Linked DNA regions of Drosophila melanogaster. The protein of the gene in region 2 purifies or fractionates together with the protein of the main gene of each other region. This does not show direct contact. Each region holds a gene or a part of one and is shown on either strand. Other genes may lie near its edges. The genes, in order: Sec3 and Exo84.

Region 1 (5,790 bases), on a different chromosome or scaffold from region 2:
GATGGGGGTCACGGGAAGGTAGGGAGAACCGAGTCAGGAGCGACAACCGCACAACAGCACGAAACTGGTCGGACGGGTCGCTATGGTGGCCATGTTTATGGGACAGCCCAGACAGGAGGGAGGATCAGTTCGGATCGGATCGGTTCGGCGGTAGTCTAACTTTTTGTTCTCCCTGTCGGAGCTTCATAAAATATGCACCACATTCAGTCGCAAGTCGTTGCGGCTTCTTCCATTTTCCGTTTGCCATTTGCCATTTGCAATTACCATTTGCATTTCACGGAGTTATCAACACGGCACATGAGCACACACGGAAACACGTACGGCTAGAACAATTTAAAATACACGAAATAAAATGCTTATACTGCAGTTGGGTAAATCACGCGGACAGGCGACAACCGATGCGAAAGAGTCGCGCGGCTTGACTGGGAGCACCAGCCCGAACTCCAACGGCTGGCGAACGAAAAGCCACCCCGGAAAGCTCACTCTTCGAGCACTCTCTCTCTCTCTCTCTCTCTTTAGGCTATGATCTATCTCTTTTGATCTTGAAGAGCTCTCTTTGACCTTAGGAGGCTGTTTGAATGTGCACGGTAGTAAATTAGAGTTATACTATAAAAGTATAAATACAAAAAGTCAAACTTCTATCTGTGATTTTTAAAAGCTGACGTACTAAAGATCAAGTAAGATCTCTAGAAATTCTACATTTTTATATATAAAATTTAGTTTACTCGCATTCTTGGACAAAAGTTGAGTATTGGCTATGTAATTTTAGCTTAGAACTTATACAATAATCAACTTCAATGGCTAGCTGTTGAAAAGTTCCCTTTAAGGCCTAGTCTCGTTGATTTTTCACTACGCGATCCCTCTCTCTTGGACGTTTCGAACATTCGCAGATCCACATCTGTTTAAATATACGCGCCATATATTTTGCAATCAGCAGAAACAGCGCTTTAAATACTATTGCACTTAAAAATAAAACCCGGTTGAACCGCTCCCTGACTTTCAGATTCCAATCCCTAGATCAGTGGGAGCGCGCTATGTCCGAGAAGAAGGCGAGTATGTCCTGAATGTTGAACTCCAGGTTGATCATGGCGCCGGCGTAGCACTTTTGGATGCGCTCCTCCAGGTAATTATACTGGGCAATGAACTCCTCCTGCATGGCATGCCATACCACTTGCAGCAGATTCTCCTCCTCGCTCAGGTGCTTTTCCACCTTCTTATATAGGTTCTCCAGTCCTTTCTTCACCTCTCGTGCAGGATACTGAGCGATCACCTTGCGGAGTTCCTGCTTGGAGAATGCCATCTGGTAGCTGATTTCCGTTTCCTTGACTCCCTGGGCCACCTTAAGTTGCACGCCTTCGAAGAATTGCTGCAAAGGCAGAACGGAAATTTATGAGATGAAGATCGACTTATCTTTTCTTCTGGAAGGTCATTGACTTTGGCTTACATTCAGTTTCTCCAGCGGCCGGCCGAAGTACTGAGTCACATACGCTTTTAGCGCATCGTTATAACACTTCTTGGCCTCCTTTTTCAGGGCGTCCAGACCAGGAACCTTGAGCTGGGCTAACAAAGCGTACATGTGGTGGTAGTTCTCCATGCGCACTACCTGAACTGGTGTCTTGGGGTGCTCCTGCGAATGCAGTTGGATGCCCTCAAATATGGCATTCACCAGCTGCAAGTACCACTTCTCCATGTCCGTTCGGCGATCCGATTTCCGAAATATGCCCTCTGCAGTTTGGGCAAAGTTTTCAAAGTTTTCCACATACGGCAGAATGGCCTTAGAACGTTTGTGCAGCTTTGCCTCCCGGATAGACAGTAGTTGGTTCTGCATAAAGCGGTCGAAGCTCCGCTTCACCTGCACCAAGGCGGAAGCGAAGGTCATGCTAAGAAAGGAATGTGTGTCCTGGGCGGACATGACGTGCTGCGTAAGTCGCACAAAAACGTACAGAGAGTAGCTACGAAAACAAATTTGTTAATTACTCCTTACTCCATTACTATATTGTTTACTTACAAGCTGTCTACACGCTCAAAGCTCTGGATGAAGCTAACTAGCTCTGGTTCTAGGCAACCGAAAAGGCCCATCATCAGTTTACGCACATCTTCGTTAATTTGACGGTCAATCCGCTTCTGCGGAACACCATCACCTGATGGCGAAACCGCTCCTGATATGATTGACTGTGTCATATCCACCGCCTTTTCCATCTCCAACGTAGTCTGTGTGTTCTTTGTCGTTGGACTAATAACGTCCATCTGAAAAAAGTTGATGCAGAAAAGCTGTTCCTGCAGGGCGATGGGTTCCAGCTCAGCTAGAACCTTTTCCAACAATGCATCAAAACGCATTCGATCCGCTGTCTCTACACCGGGACCCCACTGATCCCTGTTGATTCCCAGTGTGCCATAAGGTATTGTGGAAACTGCGGACTTTCTTGAAGACGTAGACATGTCCAGATCCTCCCGAGAATTACGAAGCTTTTCCGTCACCTGAATTTTAGCCTATAAAATAATCAGAAGTGATCGAGATTAGCTTAGATTACAAACTATTACATTTCCATGTTCATGTCTTACCAAATTGAAGAAGTTCCTCACATCCCTGTCATAGATCTTGCTCAGCGATGCTGTGTACACACGCATTAGACCATCGTAGGTCTTCCGATCCATGGCTTTTGTCCAGTGCATCAGCTCAGTATAAGGCGTCAGTTCCCGATGGACGTTGGAATGGTTAGGCAGCGTAAGTTCAGTGCTAGTCACCTGCATGTCTCCTATTTCATTGCCCAGGTGGATGAAGAGGTTGTTCATAAACCGACTGACCGTGGCAGAGAATTTTTGTTTCCACTTTTCAAAGCGCTTGCGTTGGTCCTGCACCGCCTCCAAACGCAGCAGAGCAGGATCTATATCGCTGTTCATTGCCTGTTGCAGGCACTGAGCAGCTGCAATGGCTGCTTTGCGTCCATTGGCGGTCTTTAAATCGGGTTCATCCAGAGCCTGCTGCTGGCTGTGCGGCAGATCCAGTTGACTCTGCAGAAGTAGCAGAATTATTAAACAGTATAAAATTGAGTACACTAAGAATACGCACTATGACTTTGTTGAGCTCCTTCATAAGCTTGATATTGTTATTGTTGGCAATTTCGATCATGGCATTTTTGCCTCCAATTTTCTCCATGGTTTCCTTGACATGCCCCAGAATGTCCTCGTAGCTATCAAGACGGTTTTCAAACTTATCCGCCTCGGAGATAGCATTGTCGATGTGTTCCATCATTTTCAGAACCTTCTGTTCCGAGGCAAGTACACTTTGCATATTGGCCTGCGAGATAAGAAATTATGAGTAATGTATACACGGTGGACAAGCCCAATTTACTAACCCCATCCAAATCGTGGAGCTCACGCGACAGCTGCTCTATGAACTGCTCAGCATCTTTAATGGCGAAGTCGCACTCGGAGAAAAGTTTGCCCAGCTCATTGGCCTCTTTGTCCGTCAGAGCGGTAAACTCCTGGGCCTCCTCCTCTTCGTCCTCCTCGTCGTCCATGTGTTGCGTCTTCTGAACCGCTCTGCCCAATGCCACCTTTTCCGGCGACTTCTCCGACAACCACGCTGCGGGCACATTCCGGAATTCCGCCCGCTGGCCACGCACGCTTTTTTGGATTTGGCGATTGAGCACGGCCAGAAAGTTTTGGCGCTCGTGAGGGTTAAGGGCGTACCATTTGTACAGCTTTTCCAACTGCAGATCGAACTCGTGCGTCTCGAACTGCTCGTTCCGGCCGTCAACCCACTTAATCTCGTCCAGCTGCCAGCTCCGCTTGCGCTTGTATTCGCCCTCGCGCTGCTCCGACTGTTTGATCAGGCACAAAGTGACCACGGGTACCGGTGGCGCCGTGGTGACAACGCAAAGGTAGCACGGCTTCTTGTCCTTCTTCTTGACCACCGTCACCACAGAAAGGAGGCGTTCTCCGGAGGCCAAGAAGAGTTCCTTCTGCAGCGTGTGCTTGATGTTGGCCATAGCGCCAATGGACAGCATGGCTGGGTATATCTTCGGGATGCACTGGTCTCGAATAAAGTCCTTTCAAGAATCAACAACTGGCCAGTTGTTTGCACTTGCAATTAGCAATTGGAGAACGCCTCCGCACCAACAGCTGATTTAACAGAGCTTCTGCAGAGGCGTTTACAGACTATCGGTTGGGGATGAGCGCATTGCGTGAGTGTTCTTTACGTGGTTAAAAGTCACATAGCAAAAATATGCTAAGACTACAGAAACCAATTAAAATGTATTAAATCATATTGTTATTTAAACATTTCAGTATAATAGATACATTGAAGGTTTCATCGCATCGTAGGTAATAACAAGTATGCAGCTCGTGATCTCATCCCAACTGTAGGGTAGATATTATTCTATAACAACACAACGGTCACACTGTTCAACACAAGGTAATCTTCGGGTGAGTTATAATGCGAAAAAGTATTGGCAGTGAAAATAAACCCATATTTACCCATTTCCAGCTACTTTCGAGCAATCATGTTGGTTAAGCACATTGTCAAGCAGGGGCTTCTGCTCAAGAACGGTGAGTTGGAGTGGCCCAACACCTCTTTTCAGCAAAACTGCTAACCTTAAAAATTACATAATGTGGATAAGCAAAGGGAGAAACTTCAAGGAACTGCGAAGGAATGGTTCACCCACCAATCTTCAGCATAGCCATGGATATTATCAGAATTAGCCAAACAGATATCGGAAGAAACTTGGATGAGATCATTAACCAAGTTGCATTTCGTTGGGATTACCCCCTTTTTAAAACCAATCACTTGAATATTCTTTCTTGTTCTCTCATTTCAGCTGGCGCTTTGTCGCGTGCCGCTTACCACGGTGGACATGGTCCCCACTCCACCATGAACGATCTGCCCGTGCCCGCTGGAGACTGGAAGGAGCAGCACAGCCAGAAGAACGCCAAGTACAATGCCGCGCTCATCACTGGCATTCTCGTCCTGGCCGGCACTATTGGATTCGTAAGTGGCTGCCATATTCCTTCCATCCCATATCGGTCTTATTGAAATACGCTTTGCAGGTGAAATCTTCTGGTATCATCCACTTCAACTACTACGCGCCCAAGAGCCTGGACTAAGCCAGCGTTCCCTTACGTGTAAATTAATCCAACATTTGTGTTAAATAAGCTTAAAGTGGCGACATAGTAAATCACAGATCCGAAAGTAATCAGTTCGATGGTTTTATTTGTCTCAGTAAACGGGACCATCGTCCAAGTTGTCGTCCTCATCATTGAAGGCTTCTCCATTATCAAAGTACGTTGCACCGTAGTCGTTGTCCTCGTCCATCTCATCATCCAACGCCGCCTCCGGATCTTCCTCCTCCTCCTGTTCGGAATCGGACTCTTGTTTGTTCTCGTCCTGCTCACCGCCACCTGATTTCAGTTCTTTCTGCTCCAGAACCTTCAGTCTGTCCTCGATGTTTGTCTTCTTGGTCAGCAGATTCGGCCTTGCATCTGCTCCACGACGTTTTCGACTGGAGATGTTTAGCTCTTGGGGCATGGCTTTGTAGTTAAAATCGGGTTGTGCTGTGAGCTTCATGCGCTCCATGGCTTTCTGGGGGTGTAAAAGCAGGATTATAAGCAGCTAATTTAAAATAGCCAGTATTATTACTTCTCGCCAGTCCTTGTGATCAAGGTTTTTTGCGTCCCGACTGGCGGAGATCATGTAATAGGGGGAATCTCGCATTCGGTTCAGAAAGTCCTCCTTCCACAGGAGCTGATAGTTCTGTGTGGCTGTTGTCTATCGAAGTAAAACAGGTAAAA
Region 2 (5,112 bases):
CCAGAGCGAAATAAAATGATAATGCATGCGAGCAACAGAAACGAGTATGTTGTAAAATTAACAAAATGAAACCGGAAACAGAAACATAAAAAGTCGGCGATACCTACCTACGTTCATCTTAACATAAAAACAAATAGGAGGATAAGTGGAATTAGTCAGTCATTGCAATTGCAGGAGCGTTGAGATTATGATTACCAGCTGAACAAAAGGAGTTAAATACAAATACGATGCGAGTGCTTTTAGTTTGTTTTATGTGAGCGGTTTTTGTAATTTAGCTGAAAAGTCAGACAGCGAATGCAACAACAAATGTAATTTTAAGTTGTCAGTTTCCTTACCTCCCAACGTCCCTCCAAACACACACCACACACACACAAACACAACATACGAAAAACACAAAACACATTTGCATAAAAGGTATATATATATATATATATATATAATTATAAATGAATATACTTAGTAAGCATTTTAGTTAAGAGTTTTACATTATAAATTAAACACGGAAACCACTTTCGAAACACTCACTCGCATTGGGGGTCAGTAGTTAGAAGCTCAGAGCAGTCCGCTTTGCTTGTATGTAATTTGAGAAAATGTGTAATGAGAAAATCGAGGAATTAATTGTGTGAATCAAACTCAACTCTTCAGAACCAAGTGTAAAATCCTATATTTTGAGCAGCTAAACCCAACACAGAGAGAGCCGCATCAACAACCGAAACCGAAAAGTAGAACACAGCTAAATTGTTTAGTGTTTAGAGTATATATATGAAAAACAGAAAACGAATCGATTTATATATATTTACAATTATATATATAATGCGAGCGGCGAAATTGTAATAAGCAAGAGATAGAGTGCAGCACACGCTTCGATTTTTAATTTTACAAATATTATTATTATTGTGGTTATATATGTATATAATTATATTATAAATAATTGAAGCAAAACGAAAAAATAAAAAATTATATGTAATCGAAAGTAAATCCCACGGCGTGCATCTAAAACACATCTGTGGTGTAGACGCTGCGCTGGCGCGGCACTGGAGCACCTTGCTGGCGGGACATTTTCGTGTGCAACTCGCGCAATCCCTCGCACTGGCGTCCAGAAATCTGTCGAAACTTGTCGATGGCGATGGGCAGCAGGTTGTCCACCAGAAAAATCTTGTTCTTCATTACAAAGTTGGGCTGAAAATGGCATTCTTGAAGAGAGCGGTTTTATTTAAGCTGCTTTCTAACTTACATCCACGGCCATGTCGCTGGGCGGTTTCAACGAATGCTGGGCAATGAACAGCTCCTTAAGAAGCAGTTCCAGGCTCTGCAGCAGGGTTTCGCACTTGGCCAGACAGCCGCAGTACTCGGTGAGCTGCAGGAAGTGTCTGATGAAAACCACTGTCGACTGGGTGAGATTAATCCATGTGTCGCCCGTCGCCTGGGCTCGCACATCGATACCCAAGACATCGAGCTCCAGGAGCAGACGCTTCAGGTTCGACTTGGTCTGCAAATTGTACGGCTGCCAGCTCTCCTCGGTGCGACCCACGGAGTCCAGCAGTCGCTCCTTGGATTCCTCTATGAGCGACTCGAGTGTAGTGCGCAACAGACCTTCCAAATGATAACTAATGTCCAGCCCGATCTCTGTGAGCTTTGTCGAGGGCTTGCGCACTCGCTCCACACATTTGGCCACTGACTCCAGGGAGGTTCCCTTGGTCAGGTAATGCTTTATCAGTTGGCTGGCAAAATATTGCAGCTCCGCATTGCACCAAACCACGAGCGCTGCAAGAATTAGATAGTAGTAATACTTAAATGTAGACAGAAATAGGAATGAAGCTTACCGCTAACGCACGCCGGTTGCTTCTCAAAGGCGGTGAGAAAATCACAGGCCACCTGCGTCAGGTCACAAAAGAAGAGTTCCGATATATCCGCATTATTCCTGCGCGCCTCCCGTTGCGCCACCCGCAAACTGACGGCGCAGACCTTCAGCAGAGTGGCACTCGCCTGCCGATAGCGACCCATCTCTACGAGAATCTTCAGAGGCCGCTTGGCTGCTCTCAGAGCGATCTGCAGATTGCGATTGTGACTGTTGGACAACTCCTTGAGCAGCACATTGATCAGCTTCAGCTCCTGCTGCTTCACCTTGGTTTCAATGGCGTCCGCTAGTGGCAACTTCTTTCGGTTCTCGTTTCGCAAGAAGTCCTGGGTTCGCTTTATCAGCTCCTGGGCATCCTCGAAATGCCGTTGGGCCACCAGGGTCTGAATCTCTTCACTGGCCGTGCTTAGCCACTCGGGCGTCTCATCCTCCAGGGATTTGGGCTGTCCGGGACTCTGGGGTGTGGTTTCCTTCTCCGGAGTCGAAGCTTTTGACTGCTGTTTGGCCCGAGTTGGAGGCTGTGGCGCCTGGCCCTTTTTTGGTTTCTTTTGCTGGTCAAAGCGGAAGGCCTCTTCGAGCTTCTCTATCCACTCCGTCTTCCCAGCAGCCGTGATGCTTTGATAGATCTTGGAACCATCTGGAGTAATGATATTAATGGCATTCTTAACGCCATCCAAGTCCTTAATGTTAATCACGGCTATTTTCTTGGGGTCGTACTCGGTGAGGAAATCCAAGCGCCTGAAAAATATTACTATTAGTTTTTGCTATATGCTTTAGTATAGGAAAACCTACTTATCATGCTTCACTTTGCAGACAATCAGTACATCGTTGAAGAGGAAAAAGAAGACCCTTTGAATGGGTCGATAATCATTACTGTCCAACTCGATTAGAGCTCCCTCGTTGAGGAAGGTCTTGCCTTCCAGATTGCCATTGAAGCCCTGGACCATTTCCTTGACCGCCCGCGTGGCATGGCTATTCTCCAGATCCTCCGTCGCCGTAGTGCTCTCCGCCTCCAAACTCTCTGCCTTCAGGTGACTGGAAGTCTTGCCATCCGTCATGGTGGCCAGAATATTGCGCTGCTCAATCAGAATGTGCGACAGTTGATACATTTCCGACTCGAGATCTGCGATGCGAAAATATTAACATAAATGTATATTGATATTGGGGGGCGTAAACTACGTGATATCTCCTTGGCCGTCTGTATAAACTCCATATAGTTCTTTTTGCATGTTTGCTTGAGCGTTGCTGCCGTCGTTTCGTTGTAGGCCTCGATTTCCTTTTTTCGCTGCTGCAAATCGCTGCCACCCACACATTCTCGTGTCAGGTCCTTGGTATCTGGGAACGTTGTACTTATTAGTAGACTGATTAATGCTAAATAGACATAGGAATACTTACATTTCTCAACGCTAAAATTAAAATCGTCGAACTCCTTCATGATTCTGATTGGAATGTAAACTGCAGCTGACGCAGAGCCATTCACAACGAACGAGCGTCATCATGAGGTGTCGATTGTAAGGTTGCTGATGCTATAGAAAATGCCATGTTTTCACTGCAGTTTTCCCTGGTATTAGATAAATCTATAAATCTAGAACATTTTTATTTAGTTTTAAGTAATAGGAGATTAATTAAGATTTAAAACCTATGAAAAGTTTTATTCGAACTGAACGGCTACGTCAAAGACCTTTTAGAGATCAACAAATTTATTCGCATTTACATTTCGGATTTTCATCTTAGGTATGATTAGGCGTTGAAGCCCTGAATACTTTTTATTCGAACTGAACTTTTAAATATAAACGACTACGTCAAAGATCTACGTTAAAAATCAAGAAGACATATGTCTATATGTATACTATTCATTACAATGTGTGTGTGTTGTATTGTAATAAATTAAAATTATTTTCCACCTGTTGCTAATTCACTAAGTTGAAGTGTGAACAGTTCTTTCAGAGTGCACCGGCAAAGCTTCTTCTTCCCACTAGCACTATTCGCATGTAAGCGCCAACACGTCTTGGCCACCTTAGAATCGCGCACACCCTTCGCTTATTGTTTTGGTTGATGAGTAATCTTTAGGAAACTCCGTCATTCTTCGTAATTAAATCTTGCAGTTAAGATATCCTTAAACATGGACTGGCTATTCGGCAAGAAGATCAGCCCCGATGAGATGCTGCGTAAGAATCAGCGGGCGCTCAACAAAGCGATGCGAGATCTGGACCGCGAGCGGATGAAAATGGAGCAGCAGGAGAAGAAGATTATCGCGGATATCAAGAAGATGGCCAAGGAGGGTCAAATGGATGCCGTGAAGATCATGGCCAAGGATCTGGTGCGCACGCGGCGGTATGCCAAGAAGTTCATGCTGATGAAGGCAAACATCCAGGCGGTGTCCCTCAAAATTCAGACGCTCAAGTCGCAGAACACAATGGCACAGGCCATGAAAGGTAAACATTGGCTATTTGGCTGATTCACCCGCTTATCAAGCAATTATGCTTATCTTCCAGGTGTCACGAAGGCCATGCAGAACATGAACCGCCAGCTGAATCTCCCGCAAATCCAGAAGATCCTGCAGGACTTCGAGAAACAGTCGGAAATGATGGACATGAAGGAGGAGATGATCAACGATGCCATCGATGACGCCATGGAGGACGAGGGCGACGAGGAGGAGACGGATGCTGTTGTGTCCCAGGTGCTGGACGAACTGGGTCTGCAATTGGGCGAACAGCTGGGAGACCTTCCTTCCGCCTCCGGTTCCCTTTCCATAGCCGGCGGCGCTGGCGCTCAGAAAGCACAGGCTGTGGCCGCTGGTGGCGTTGGCGGCGGTGGAGCCGCCGGCGGAGGTGGAGCTAGTGGTGGCGGCGCTGGTGGTCCGGGAGCTCCCGGTGGCAGTGGTGCCTCATCGCCCATGTCCGATGCCGATGCGGATCTTCAGGCGCGCCTGGATAAGCTGCGCAAGGATTGAGCCGCTACTAAGAACCACTGCCTGTCCACTTTATGTAAGAGCCACCACCCGTTTGTATCTCCCAGAAGCGAATGTTATATTAAAGAGAATGCTTGTGATTTTCGTTCCCTGCGTGTTTGAAAAATCGATGAGTAATTAGCATTTACAAGCTATAATGGAAAGAACTGGGTAGTGCTGCAATCGCACAGCCTAGCTACAAACAAATTCGCAATACTTGTTACTTTAGAGCTATACAATATTCGGTATTTTAAAAGATATGTACGTTTCATGCCTGTCTTCAATAAAATAAGAAAAAGGAATT

Evidence for each region.
Region 1: the proteins of Exo84 (region 2) and Sec3 fractionate together in Drosophila melanogaster (co-fractionation; one study listed by BioGRID). This does not show direct contact.

What each region holds. Positions count from the first base shown.
Region 1 is NT_037436.4:17,421,090-17,426,879, forward strand, and holds Sec3 (secretory 3), read right to left. Parts: upstream 4,129-5,790; 5' UTR 4,011-4,128; coding exon 3,357-4,010; intron 3,299-3,356; coding exon 3,071-3,298; intron 3,013-3,070; coding exon 2,563-3,012; intron 2,491-2,562; coding exon 2,009-2,490; intron 1,953-2,008; coding exon 1,445-1,952; intron 1,367-1,444; coding exon 1,019-1,366; 3' UTR 698-1,018; downstream 1-697. Other genes in the region: COX7B (cytochrome c oxidase subunit 7B), read left to right, coding at 4,506-4,551, 4,821-4,990, 5,050-5,106; Polr3G (RNA polymerase III subunit G), read right to left, coding at 5,219-5,581, 5,639-5,767. UniProt on the Drosophila melanogaster protein: Component of the exocyst complex involved in the docking of exocytic vesicles with fusion sites on the plasma membrane.
Region 2 is NT_033777.3:26,048,937-26,054,048, forward strand, and holds Exo84 (exocyst 84), read right to left. Parts: upstream 3,322-5,112; 5' UTR 3,294-3,321; coding exon 3,254-3,293; intron 3,194-3,253; coding exon 3,035-3,193; intron 2,982-3,034; coding exon 2,651-2,981; intron 2,597-2,650; coding exon 1,824-2,596; intron 1,765-1,823; coding exon 1,235-1,764; intron 1,180-1,234; coding exon 994-1,179; 3' UTR 795-993; downstream 1-794. Other genes in the region: Vps2 (vacuolar protein sorting 2), read left to right, coding at 3,981-4,293, 4,354-4,811.